Linked DNA regions of Mytilus edulis. The protein of the gene in region 1 purifies or fractionates together with the protein of each later gene. This does not show direct contact. Links are inferred from orthologs where the notes say so. Each region holds a gene or a part of one and is shown in the gene's direction. Other genes may lie near its edges.

Region 1 (7,393 bases):
TATAAACATAACTAGAAATTCTTGCATTTAAACATTAAATGCAGTATTAAATAGGCTATTTATTGTCGTTTCATCATTTTTCTTATATTGTCTGTTTCTCTTAGACCTATAAAGTTTGATTGTTCCAATGATATATTCTGACTCTTCTTTTTTATAAACCGTAAGACTTAAATACATAACAAACACAATTGATGTACTAAAAATAAACAAGAAGATGCTGTATGATTGCCAATGTCAGAGACAACTTTCCACAAACTCTCCACAAGAGACCACCAAAATGACACAGAAATTAAACTATAGGTCATTGTATGGTCTTCAACAATGAGCAAAGCCTATACCGTATACCAGTAGTCACTGAGTCAGCTATAAAAGCCCATAAAATGACAATGTAAAACAATTAAAACTAGAAAACTAACAGCTTAATTTATACATGTACAAAAATTTTTATACTCTACTCTGAATTTTTAATAAAGGGATAGTTAAAATGATGTCATATCAAATAATAACATAAATGCTATATAAAAAAGTATTTTTTTTTGCATATTAGTAGTAGAATATTGGAATACAAATAAATACATTTATTTTTATGATATTTTTTACAATTTTAATAATTCTAGTCAGTCAATTTATGTAAACATATAAACAAATGAACCTTTGAATCCTTAGCATGCTTTAAAATTTGTACACCATTGTTTTTACTCATTCCAATTGCAAGCTAACTAGCAAAAAACTTAATAAAAAAATGACCTAAGTGAAATTGAGAATTTTACTAATTGCCTAAGGGACTATTTTCCTATTTTTTGCTTCAAACTGAAATGCGTGACTTAAATGTATATGCAATAAAAAACTGAAAGTGGAAAATGATTTTTTTCTCTCAAGAAATCAATTAAATGCTAAAACATACTTCTAATTAAGAAACACCAATAATGCATTTAACATGTTTAATATAAATCAGTGCTATAAGTGCTTATATGTCTTTAATCATGCAGCATAAAGCTGTTTTAAATTAGTTTCATATCCTTATTGATTCTAGGTATGTTTATAAAGCATAATACTCAGTACAATGTTTTATATGGATGATTTAAATCCATTCAAATCTTACATATCAGTTATTAAAAACCTAGATGATCAATTATTTTAAGGGTGATTGGATTTTTATAAACATATCATTTGATCTCCTTGTTTATAGGTTTTAAAATATTACATGGTGTTTTTGTTTTATTGTCAGAAATTTAAACTCAACAAAGATGGTCATAAACGATAAATAGTTTATTGTGGATATTAAAGTAGGGTTAGCACATGGTTAAATCAGGTATTGTTTTACTGCAGGTAATAAACATGTAGGGTTAAATATTGTGTTGGATTTAGAGACCACTTCAATAACATAATTGATAAATAATATTTTTTTTCTTCTTAATAAAGGAACATATCAAAATATTTTATACTGCAGACTTGTTTGTGATATTAAGAAATTGTTGTAAATGCTAAAACTTTTACTATTTTTCATATACAAAAAATTGGATCAAATAAATACTACTACTATAAAATTACTGTTTCTGGCCTTTACTGACTTTTTTCTCTCTCATTGTATATAGCTGATGATGTATTTTGAAACTTACATATATGTAGTTTTAAAATTATGTAAAATATTGTATATAATTAATCATTTACCTTAATAGTCTCTCATAATTCTTAATAGAATGGCACTTGTATATGTTTTAGTATTTTTAAGCTAATGATATTTTACAGTTAGTTTTATACAATATGTTTTATACATGTTATATATGTTATCCAATATTTCATGTTATACACAATGTTTTATATGTATATTGGAATGTATAATGTTATAAACAAGTGGTGAGACTTTAATAAAATATTGAATCTGAATCTCTCATAATTACCTATTTACCTAATTATATAATATCACATTTTTCATTTAGATATGTTCTTACAAGTTACAATGTCTTATGACATTCTGCAAAAGAGTCAATCTGAGTGTCAAGAATTAAACTTTAACTGTCATTAGAAAATATTAATTTGATAACAAAATTTGCCAATGAGGCTGATGCAGTAAATTATAAAGATGTATTTCTGAAAGCACCACTGAATACAACACTTCATTTAACAAATATAGTTTAGAACCATGCACAACTAGTCATTTAAAAAAATCATAGACTTTAAACAGCCAAAATACTTCTGGATGAATACATATCTTCTTGGTGTTTACCCGGTACTGCTTAGATTTTATCGAATTACATAGTAACTCAATATAAATCCTTAACTTACTTGCAATAGAGTGATTTTGAGTTTGTCATTCAGTTACATGTATGTGTGAAATGATTATTGAGTTATCTTTAATGAGAATGAATTTCTGAGAGGTATAATCTTACATAAATATACATCACAAACATGCAACTTTAAACATAGTACTAGTGAATACAATATGGCTGTCAATATTGGTCTCTTTCACATATATTTGCCATTTCCATTCTCAAATTTATTCGGTAATCAGAGGTGTGGACAGACAGAGAAAACATGTACATTGTATAATGTATGATTTAAAGTAAATTAACAGACTTCAGGTAAAATGCTGTTCCTTAATGAATCTTTTCCCCCCAGAAACTATATAATTATTCTTATTATATAATTCATGAAATAACAGTCAAAGTTTGAATTTGTGGTAGGATGAAAAATTATTAAAATAGACATGATAGAAATGCAGAACCAAGACTGACAGATTTCTTTAAATACATTTAAATAAATTTGTTAATTAGATTAATTTATGTTGTTATTTGTAAATAAATATATGTTGTCACATAGAATGATAGAATTGTAGATCCTTGTACATTTTATTAACATCTACATTTTTAAATTTTTAACTCATATGACAAATGTATGACATCATTACAGTTTGAAAACTATCTGAGACTAAAGGTAAATATTTGTTTCTGTTATTAACATGTTGTTAGTCAATGGAGAACTTGATCAGAAAAATACAGCACAATTTTCTTCATTAACAGACATTACGGCTATAAAAGTTTAATGTGAACTATAAAACCTGAGTTTTCCATTTACTAAATGTATAACAGTTCAGTGACAGTCTATACTAATCCCTGAATAGTTTATTATGTAAGCAGTCTTCACGCTGAGTGGCAGCGCAGGCTAGTTAAATTGCTCTCCTGCCTGTAAAAATCATATCTACAGGCCAACAGAATCTAACTAAAAATTTTCAAAAATAAAGCCTCGGGCCTGTATAGATCTAAAAGTTCGTTGTGAAGACTGTGTAGTCCTTAAAAAAACTGTCGACCCTAACAGTCCTTCCTATTCCTGATTTATTAATAAGCAGTCTCAATTAAGCCACTAGATTTTATAATTTTATAGACATTTGCGGCCATATCAGCCAACTGATTAGACCTGCAGATCAGGGACATGTACTGATTACATGTTCGCCCCGAGTTTGTTGGCCTATAGACATGATAGAGTCTGTTCGCCCAGGATTAATTTTGCTTTATGCTTTCATTAAAACATATTTATGTTACGGTTATTAAAGTTTAATAAATTTACGAAGAAGGTTGCAGCAATACAAATATTCAGCGATTTTTTAGTTCACTTTAACATACATTTGACAAGTTTAGTACTCTATTCAAATTATAAACATTCTGTGATTAAACATGAATAACAATGGAAAAAATTTTAAAAAAATACGGCGAATGGACCCTAGGTGAACAGATTTTGGGGCAAACAGACACAAGGGTAAGCATGAATCAGGGCGAAGGGACCATATACATTGTATCTACTGAGATATAGTTTAGAAATTAAGTTCCTTCATGTGTAGTGATAAAATATATATACCTCATAATTTATGATAAGAAATCATACCACAGTAAAACCATGATTTACAATGTTTGATTTGAGAATAAATATATTAGATTTTGCATTCTACAATATTTAACTTACTGACGTGGATGTGGCTTGTTTCGTCTACATCTGGATGAAGGACGTGATTGTGTTGCTTCATCTAAGAATTTCCCTTCAAAATGTGAATTGTAAGTTGTTGGATGGCGTGCTTGAGCTGACCAAATACGAGTTGCTTCATTTCTGATATTTAACAATTCATTATGATCTGGACCTGGATTATTGTACAATGCAAACTCCCTAAGTTTAGCCTTGTCAAGAGGCAAAGTTGCAGTTTTTGCTCTTCTCAAATTAGTAACAGGGTTTCCATAGCCCGGGAGAATATGACCCGTAGCCATTTTTTACTTTTTGTTATTTCTGTTTTTACGGCATGAGCAATTTCATGTATAAATACTTAACTTAATTAAACAAAATTTTCTGTAAAAACACCTGTGTTTACGCGCACCAAGCAACAAGATAAAACCGGAAGCGGATGTCATGCAGAATCTTATTTCCGGATGGAAATTACTGTCAAGTTATTTTTTTTTTTGTGAATTTTAGATGAAGTTTAGTGGAATAACATCTTATCTGTTAAAGAAGTAATCATTCTTTATTTCAATCTCATTCTTTTCGAACTCGCAAGTAAAACAAATCGTTAAGTAATTAAAAAAAACTGAAGTGGGAGGATGAAGTTTCTGCAGTTTGTTTATCAGTTTATGCTAAGACTTAGGATGATACACATTTAGTTAACTGGTATCAAGTCTTTTTTCTCCAAAAAGCCAGTACCTCCTAGCGTTCGCACCACACAAGTTTGACTCCTGAGTTTATGCACTCTTTGATTCGTTCCTGAAGGTGGCAGTTCCTGCTGGGTCATAAATACGTGGTCTTCACCCCACAGAAGCAACTCCTGATCAGGTTTTAGAAGTAAACTTATCACTTTCAAATATAAATAATTCCATTAGATATATGTTTCATTATAATACTTTATTATGATTGGCTAACTGGACATCACATGTTATTCCTTTAGCAATTGCATTGCTCAATAAAACTTTTCAGTCATGATAACACTGGTCCCACAATAAAGTGCACAGGTGAATTAAATAATAAATTATAAAATTCGTGTTTTCATGATCATAGCTAAAAAATGTAATTATAAGTATTGAATGCTTCTTTTTGTAACTTCATAGGGTTGTAAAAGCGTTGACCGTGCGCACATTTTTAGAATGAAGGGCTTTAGCGCTTCAAACAAAATGTACTTCGGTCAACGCTTTTACACCCCAATGAAGCTACAAAAAGAAGCATTGAATTCTTAAATAATAAAACGGTCTTAAAGAAATAAATGAACATTCATCAAATACATAAATTATAACTAAACATTGTTAAACATGTTAAAACAGCAACATAGTATTTGAGCATGTTTGAATAAAAATAAACAAAAAAAAAAACCCATTTAATGATAAATAATTGATCTGTCCAAACAAGGATTAGTGTTACTGTTACTTATACTATACAAATCCTTGATTGAAATTTAGGGGAATAACAAGGTTGCATTCTTTACATTTTGTTGTTCAAATTAATTAATGTTTAAAGATGTATCCTCGTCTCATGGGTTTTAGTGTTATTCAGAATGCATTATGACGTCACAATTTCCATTGAAAAAAGCATGCATGATACAAATTCATATTATTACACGAAAACATATGATCTACCATGCTAACCATACACATAATTTGATAATTCCGCCAAAGTGGTAACTTTGCCTGTCTGATAACTCTGCCCTTTCACCTCAGTGTGAAAACAATTCTTCTGCTATATTATTTCAATGAGTGTTTTGGGAATTTAAAGGTTCACGTTTGTGACTTTTTGTAAATAGTATAATAATTGCTAGCACATAACAGAAAAAAAAACAAGTTAGTAATCATTGTGCATGTTGTGTATAATTTTATAACAAAAATCTCTGTACTAAAGTAAAAGTGTGTGGATTTTCTACAAAAATCTTAGTTTTGATTTCTGCAAAATCCAAATTTCCTTCAAATGCAATGAAATGATAATTAAGGTAGATAGGGTGTCTTCCTCCATCTTGGATTTTGAAATACTAGAAAACAAGGTCTAGATCTTTGATGAAATGTTCAAATTTTTATAGTAGTAGGTAATTCATGTGTAAGAATTTTCATTATAATATAAAAAATGCCATGTTTGATCATATTTATGATTGTATTTTACAAAAATAAGAATTCTTTTGTTTGATTCATTTTTTTCCAACTTTGTCAAATAAGGGGAGGCAACTCAAATGCAAGGGCAGATAATTCAGATAGTGTTACTTTTACAATAGAATGTGTTAGGAATTTACCCATTTTTACATGTAGCAAGAAAACGAGTCTGGTGACCCCATTTTTTCTTTTTCTTATCTGAAAGCATAATATCGAAGCTATCTTCTCATATTTTATCTCAAAATTCTATGGTGTGGTTTGCGTTTTATGGCGGAAAAATGGGTTTTCCATGCATAATCTATACAAAATCTTGACAATTTTGAACAACCTGTAGCTTGAAAATAAGTCCGGTGACCCATTCTTTTTATTAATGTTTTTATACAAGCAGGATATGAACTACATTTTGGCAAATTATTAAAAGATTCTATGGATTATAATTTAGACACCCCATCTACCTTAATGATGTTTTCCATGAAGTTTCCCTTTAATATATACAAAATGGTCTCTCTTTTATTCATAATCTTTGCTTGATTGATACTATTGCAGTTAAAATTTATAATTCACATGGCTACAGAAGGGGTCACAACCTTAAGAAATATATTGACTTTGAAATAAAATTGTGCTATATTAAATTCCCTATCTAATGCACAGACTTTGAACCCATTTACAATTTCAAGGATGATGGTCAACAGTCAGGGGACTTACTGAAATAAGTGATTTTTAAATCACTTATTTGAGAAGCAAATTCGAGGTTTTGTCACAAATTGGGATTTTGTAGTTTTTTCAAAATTTTAAACACATAGGTTTAAATAATATCTTTTAATTATTAAAATTAAAAAATAGGAACTTTTGGCTTCTTTTAAGTAGCAAGGTTTATGCCTTTGATGCTATCATTTAGCTGAAAATTCTATTTTAGTTGAAAAAATGCTATAATAATGGCTTTATATAATGAACTGATACTTTCTTAAAAGATTTTTCACAGCAGTGGGAGTATTTTTCCAGTGAAGTTCAAGGTTTCATCTTTCAGATTATGTAATAAAATTCTACTGTTCGCGATAAAAATATCACTGTTCGGGGGGTGTTGAAATTAGTAGGGGTTATTACAAGAATGATACTTAAAGAAGTGATTTTTGGGAAGGAAATTGAGGTCTGGTACTTAAACAAGTGATTTTTATGTCATTATCCTAGATTCAGTACAAGGTCATCACCTGAAATGACCTGGTCATCCTAGACAACACAGATGCTGGTTCTGATAAGTTTAGAAACATAATTAGTCCCTGGATCATTAG
Region 2 (8,021 bases), on another chromosome or scaffold:
ACTCACACTCAGTACCATATTTTGTTAAATTGATAAAAACAAACTCACATATAACCTGACAACTCTCTGGAAAGTCTCCTTCAATTTTCTTCTTTTATCTTTTAGTACTTTTTCATTCAGTAATGGTGCTTCCACTGGATTATATTCTGAATAATAATAAAAAGACATTAAAGCTGACTATGCGGTATGGGCTTTGCTCATTGTTGAAGGCAGTACGGTGACCTATAGTTGTTAATTTCTATGTTATTTGGTCTCTTTTGCAGAGTTGTCTTATTGGCAATATACCACATCTTCTTTTTTATATTGTTTGTCAGTCACAGAAAGAAATAACAAAACATCCATACACACACATGACATATATCTTTCCCTTTATAAGATAACTGTGGCAACACCAATTTATCATTTGTTTTTTTCACCAACTTTAGTTCACTTAGATATATTAGAAACTTTCCTGTTTTTAGGAACATTAGTTTATTAAGGTATATAGACAACAGATCTGCCAAATTTCCAGATTTTTTGGGAATATATGGTACTCAATTAGATGTCCTGACCTAACTCTTCAATCCTCTATTTTATTTAATCAATTAAGAACCTCAAAACAGACAGTCAAAGGGCCAAAATTGCATTTTATCACACATATAATCAAACACATATTCATTCAACAGTGCTTTCCCGAAAGCCTTTTCCCTCAAGGTAATGTGATACTATATTGCTAGAATATGTAGGATGTGATGCTATCAGAAATGATTTTCTTAAAGATAGTGTTATGGATGTGATGCTATAAGTTTTAGAAACAAGATGGTATTTCAAAATTTCCTGTTTGCCAGGATGATATTAGAACTTTCTGAGGAGAACACTGTTCGATACCATAGTGTATAAGTTTAAATACTTGTGATATATATATAAAAAGAAACAGAATATGTCATGAATATTACGCATCAGTAGCAGATTTCTTCCTTTCCCTTCTTTCAGACTCAAAAAAAGAAATTTATATGATATGCATTAGGTCTTCTTGTGCTTTGAGAAGTTGGTTGGTTTATGATTTTTTTGATTTTTTCTTATTCAACAACAATATAATGGCACATGCTGTTAACAGATTTCTTCACTTGTACAGCTATTTCAGTGGAGATCCCTGTGTATAAGTACCTTAAGACTAGGGTATCCTCAGGTAGTACCTTAAGACTAGGGTATCCTCAGGTAGTACCTTAAGACTAGGGTATCCTCAGGTAGTACCTTAAGACTAGGGTATCCTCAGGTATATACTTATAATTTTGTTAGTATACATTATTTATCATTAATACATAATTTCTCTATTATTTTGCTATTCTAACTTTGAATATGAAGATTATGTATATTTATGAAAAAAAACTTTATTACACCATCAATTGTTACTATTTGATAGATGTCAAGAATAAAACTGAATAGCGGATTATAGAGTGTGTTTGGAATTTGGTTTGAGGTTTTAATATATTTCTATGTTGTCCAGTATAATGGTTTTTACAGTTTTTTTTGTGTGGATTAATAACTTTCACCACATGTTTTTGATTTCTACTATAATTATCATTTCAAGTTTATATTTTTTACCCATCTTGTCGATAATTTCCATCTCTGTCAGTAACTGTAGTGGATCTTTTCCCTTTAATACAGCCTGTCGTACTAGCATACGCTGCTTCTTGTTCTACAATTAAAACATAAATCATTTCAAATAAAGGGAAACAAATTTTACAATAATTTTTTAATTGACATACATATCAAACTATAAAACATGAATTGTTTATCATATATATGTATCATTGGACAAAAGTTAAAAGTTAAAAATTTTAAATAAATTTCAGGGCTATTTTGATTGATCTGAAATAACGGGAACAGCAACTTTTTATAAATTAAAAGCTGAAATTATAGTAAACATGGTAAATAGTTACCTTTTTTAATTCCCTCTTTCTTGCCTCTTTTCCTGTAAAAATAGAAATATGATACAAGACATTAACACTAATTTACTTCAACAACCAGCATGATAAAAGAATCATTTTTTTCTTTAATGCTTTATGTAACTCACTCATAAACATGATAAATAGAACCCCAAAAATTCTGTCATTAAGAATGAGTTGCACCAGCCAACCGGAGATGTTGTACATGTTGTAAATGACATAATCCAACAACTGGTTCTTACTGAAAGGTAATAACATAAGCATTGTAAGATAAAGAGTATGATCTTAGAAAGTCATCAAGAGAGCAAACAAAATTACTAGTTATTCTGTTACACGAGAGAGGTTTTATCTTTAACAAGCTACATTGTATATATAAAAGAGCAGAGTTCCAATGTCCCCTGTGTCGCACATATTTTATCTATCCAAGGGCAATTACTGAAAAGAATTTGTTCTTTATTATTTTTACAAATACATGTTTCTTTAGAGAAATGAAAAAATATTTGATCAGCACTGATTTTCAGCCTGATCATCAGCCTGATCAGAGATGATAATGAACCATAGTATATATCATGTATATATATATATATAGCTATAACAGGTAGAGTACTAATCATAAATCAGTTATTTTGGTCCAAACTTTAATTTGTAACAATTATGGATAAATGATATCAGTTTGCATTTCTGGGAACAGTTCATAAACCAAGTTTGATCCAACATTTGCTTCACAAGAAAATACCTGTATCAAGTCAGGAATTACATTCATTTAATGGATTTGATCTTTTAATTTTGCAATTTGATAAGGGTCCTAAGATTTCCAAGAGAACTCCCAAGAATAGAGTAATGACCAGATAACAAATAGATGTTTCCGAAAAACTACCTTGAAAATAAAATATGGTGTTATACTGCTTTTACCAATAGACATGATAGACGTATTTACACTTGTATGCAAATTTATCTCTCAATGAGTAAAATCACAAAAGTTCCTGTTTAATAAGGGATTTTTTGCCTTGGGGTTCAGTTTTTTTGTTAATCTACTTCTTATAATATATATATGTAGGACTCTAAAGTGCGATGGTCTACGCTAAAGTATGATGGTGTATCACGCTAAAGTGCGATGGATATTTGTTTGCTAAAGTTCGATGGAATATCACACTGAAGTGTGATGGACCAAAAGGGTAATGTTGACTGGCAAAAAACGTTGAAGAACACGGATGGAAAAAAAAAGAAAAAGAACACAGATGTTAATTAATAGTCTTTTTGCAAAAGCTAGTAGGATTTTTTTTTTAAATTCAGGCATATCAAATATTTTGATAATTAGCATAGCTTGCAGTTCACATGTACATGTAGTCTATCCCTTATGTGATCACCTTGTCATCGTAAATTACAAATACAAAATTCGTTCATTCATGTCATGTAACATTTATTTGTTTAAATCTTAATTCAAATGAGAGAGAAATGCAATGTTCTCCGAGCTTTCTCCTTTTTCACAGCGAGTACAAATACAGGTTGTATTTTCCTAAAATGTACAAAATAATGCTTTAGCAGACAATTTATGATTTATGCATGAAAACATGTACCTCTACTTTACCGACTTTTCAATAAATTGACAATATTTTAACAGGGACCGCAAAGTAAACTGTAACATAAACAATGATTTCAATGTATCAGTTAACATTACCTTCTAATAGAAGCAAGAAAAAGTATACTATTACTTGTGGCTATAACAGTCTGCACCAAAAACTTTTTCAACTACTAGTATGAAGACCAATATTCCAACATTTTTCTTATTGGTCCAACAAAGTTTTGCAATAACTTACTAGTCCATATAAAATTTTACTAGTCTTGGGCATCGGACTAGTGGCTAACTGTGCAGACTGGTATTATTTTGTATCTGTATAGTAAAATGCAAGACACTGTCAACGTATATTTGTTCTGCCTAACAGAAGTTCCAATGGAAACTTTGTTATAAACATTGTCATAATATCTTTTCTTGTTGGAACAAATATTCTATACCACTTCCAGAATATTTTTTCCTTTTGGAACTTATATTATGAAGGAACTTCTATTCCGTGACAACACAAGTCCTTCTTCCAGCACCCGATAAAAAAAACCATTTGCATCAGCAGACAAAGCACGGGTAGGTTTAAATTAAGTAAGTCATGGACATTTGGCTAAAGTTGTCAATCAAATATTCTACGTTTATCTTTCAGCATGTTAATTTTTTTTGTATAAACGACACGTCATAATCCATAGTACGTTTATTACTTCTATACTATCGCTGACCATCGCACTTTAGCGTGTGTAGGCATCGCACTTTAGCAAAGACCATAGCACTTTAGCGTGACCATCGTACTTTAGCGTCCACATTGCACTTTAAGTCCTACATATATATATATATATAGGCTGTTTTTTTAGGTTTATGAGTTTTCAAAGTGAATTGGTTATCAAGGGTAGTATATGCTTGTATGTTTCTCTCATGTCTCTTTGCGATGTGCTGATGGATCGTTGTACAATGTACATGTTGATGCTTGTTTGAATTGTGTTTATAAGTCTTCTTTTTGAAGTTCAATTAAAAAAATTGTTAGTTATAGGGTACTTACTGGCTTGGTCAGTGGGATTCATATATTTCCCACTTTTAGTGGTGTTAATTGAGCGGCGTCCCATGTTGGTATCTGCGTGATGACACCAACTTCAAAATAATGTTACAAAGTTTGCTGTCAGTCGCAGTAACTTGCAAATAGGATTGAGTGCTAAACTGAAACCAACAACATATCTGAAAATTGATAAAAGTTGTAGTCCTGCTCAATTGATACTACAATATTCATTTAAACGTCGAATTTAAAGCGTGATATTTTTTTCCATTTTTATCTTGCCGTAAGTGGAGCTAATGTTGCAAATAAAAAAGTTTTGTTATTGTTAATTTTTTGCATATAAGAATAGGCTGAATATACCGTTTGAATTAATATAAAACGCATTTATATCTTAAAATATTTCTGTATTTAATAAAAATAAAATAAAAAAATATTACGACATAGTCTTGCTCTTTTTGATGCTTTATCAAAGGAAAATTGTTATGGTTTACACAAAAATCAAATTGACTACGAATGCATAAAAATTAGCTGTCTGCTTCCCAGGAAGCTCAAGAAAATTGCTTTGTTTTGCCATTTAGGAGTAATAAGCGACCACAAAATGTCACAGACAAAGATATTCAAAGCAGACATCGACATGAAGCTTGAAAAAGTACGATTTTTCTATAGTTTTTTTCATGATGCCTTGATTGAAATTATATGGGTGGATCATAACATTTGCTATCCATCAGCAGCTGATCAGTCATACTCATAAGGTTGCTATGACTTTCAAATTTTCCAGATGCAGATGTTTGTCTGTACTCATTGCAAATTTTGAGGTGAAAACGCAGCCATTTTAGTCAAAGGGTAACCAATTTCACTTAAACCTTAAAGCAGACTCAAGAACTAGAAAAAAAAACATTAACTCTCATATAACAACATAGTGGGAGGATAGGATCTTTATCGGGACTCCAGGATCAGGTGTTTTTAAGCTCAGGATTTCAGGATCACATTGAAACTCGAATTTATTTATATTCAGGACCTCAGGATTTCGTGTTTTTAAGCCTGTGATTTCGGGATCAGGACCCCTCTTAGCTGCCCTCAACATACATACATCCATGGACTTTTACAGTCATTCAAACTTTCTATATACAATTTGACAGTGGAACCAGTTCCCCAGGTACCATATATACTATTTGCATCTCATTACAGGACATCACAAAGGTTCCTGTTAAATTTTGACGTCATAATACAAAATATCTGAAGCCACAATTGAAAAGTGATTGTTACATGATGTCAATAGTTCAAGCGGAGCAGATTCTCTGGTCAAACGGGACATATTTCCAAATAGGGATACGATGTATTGATAACATGGAACAGCTCACTTCAGCTGCTGGTCTATTAATAAACTGATAACACCAAAAAAGACTGACAAATCTACATGTAGTACACCAAACACAACATAAAAAAATAAAGACTAATTGACACAAACCCCACTAAAAACTGGAGAAGATCGCGGGTGCATTGGAAGTGTTAGCTGATCCTGCTCCACGTACGGCACCTCTTGTGTTTCTCATGTTAGTAGAAACCAGGTCATACATGTACATGTCATATTTAAGTCAAAGCAGTATTTCATACTCTTGAAAAGGGAACAGGCTTGTACTAAATTACTTACCACATAAGGCTCATATCTGCTACATGTATATCATCTGTGAAATTGATATTCCATAACCATGATAACGGTCAACTAATTAGTGATGGCTTCCGTAAAATTTACAAAGGGATGATTTATAATTTATCACATGGAAATTGTCCAATCTGTAATAATAAAATTATTTGGTGCAACTACCTTATCAACCTCCAATGTACAAAATGTTTACGTAGCAGGAAACATTTCAGTATGTTATTTGTTGCATTAATGGGGTAAAATAAAATCTGTTTCTTGCCTCCCAATAGACTAGTTTCTAATATATATGTAATAAGTAGATTTAATCAATGAACTGCCCAATTGGTCTAAGGATATTGTGAAATGATTTGTGACGTCTAATTATTCTAGGATAAAGCACATTTGAATTGACAAATACAAATTGCTGTTGTAGTTGTACTTACATATTGTATGTATGGTCAAAGAGAAAAAAAGACAAAATGACAAACACTGGTCAACAAAATATTTACATGAATTTAAGACACACAACGCAAAGCTAACTTATAACTATGGATAAGGCAGCTTTTTTAGGCCTTGTCCCCTGTTAGAGTAGACAGGTCCTGCTACACTAGTGGCACACCATGTTATTCATTTACCACAAGGAAAACATGTTTTAATAGCATCCTTGTTTTATGAGACTGTCATACAAGTGAGAGGTTTAGCTAGCTATAAGACCAGGTTTAATCCACCATTTTCTACATAAGATAATGCCTGTACCAAGCCAGGAATAAGATAGTTGTTATCCATTCATTTGATGCCTTTGTGCATTGATTTTGCCATTTGATTAAGACCTATCCATTTTGAATTTTCCGCTGAGTTTAGTATTTTTGCGATTTTACTTTGTACTATCAGATGTCCATGATAATTTCTTCTATGTATTATTTGCATACATTGTAACTCTTCAACAGCCTGTGAAGCCAGTATTTCAAACAGTCAAAACTAATGTACCCACCTGCTGATAGTGTGAGTCGGCAATACCAAACAAACATTGTTTTAAGGGTGGCCCCAGCTATTAAAATTTTCTGGTACTTTTGATACATTTCTGCATGCAAATAATTGTAACCCTATAGCTATCCATTGACCTGTCAACTGAAGAATCTTAAGGTTTAAAAAAAATAAATACTAACTATGTCAATTATATTATTTTAGGAGAAGAACAATTTGTCAATACTTAAAGAGGCCATGAACAAAAGTAGAACAAACACCCATGGTATGCTAGGGATACTTAATAGTTTTGAGAATCGTTTACAGAAGTTAGAAAGTACAATAGAACCTGTTTACAATGAAACAGAAATGTTGAGACGCAGACAAGAGAGTATCCTTCTTATAATCAAAATTATAAAAATGTATAGTATTTTATTGTGCTACCTTAATTTCATGGTTCTTTGATCATGTTTTAGTTTAAGCTCTGATGTTAGATCGATGTCTAGGATACTTCAGTACAGAACAAAGATACAAAGTATGTACATCATCTTTTCATGATTTAATGAACTATCCAAAATACAGATCAGAAGGATGGTGTTATCAATGTATATTTGTCTACATTACAAAAGTTCCCCTGTTAGCTCAGATGCTCGATAATAAACAACACCATAATATTTGTTCCTTTTGGAACAAATATCCTATAACCTTCGTTCTGTTTATATAAACAAATACTGTAATATTTCTTCCATTTGGAACTTATATTATAAGGAATGTATAAAATGTTTTATTTCATGCCAGTGTGACCATATTTTTGTGAACTTTCTAATATATAATAGTTTTAACAACAGTTTAACCACATTTTGTGATTAAGTGAAAAATGTGAAATTTTAGACCTGG

Evidence for each region. The genes of interacting proteins can lie anywhere in the genome.
Region 2: the proteins of exocyst complex component 1-like (region 1) and exocyst complex component 7-like purify together in Homo sapiens (affinity purification with mass spectrometry; 4 studies listed by BioGRID and IntAct, counting the BioPlex papers as one, with this or other methods). This does not show direct contact. The link is inferred for Mytilus edulis from reciprocal best matches to the Homo sapiens genes EXOC1 and EXOC7.

Annotation. Positions count from the first base shown.
Region 1 is NC_092351.1:13,976,063-13,983,455, reverse strand, and holds the start of exocyst complex component 1-like, read left to right. Parts: upstream 1-4,387; coding exon 4,388-4,424; exon of another isoform or gene 4,425-4,493; intron 4,494-4,569; exon of another isoform or gene 4,570-4,818; intron 4,819-7,393. Other genes in the region: uncharacterized protein, read right to left, coding at 3,958-4,253.
Region 2 is NC_092352.1:1,656,934-1,664,954, reverse strand, and holds the start of exocyst complex component 7-like, read left to right. Parts: upstream 1-5,010; 5' UTR 5,011-5,117; coding exon 5,118-5,168; intron 5,169-7,349; coding exon 7,350-7,515; intron 7,516-7,600; exon of another isoform or gene 7,601-7,659; intron 7,660-8,021. Other genes in the region: WW domain-binding protein 11-like, read right to left, coding at 49-146, 1,585-1,678, 1,923-1,954, 4,529-4,592. UniProt on the Homo sapiens protein: Component of the exocyst complex involved in the docking of exocytic vesicles with fusion sites on the plasma membrane.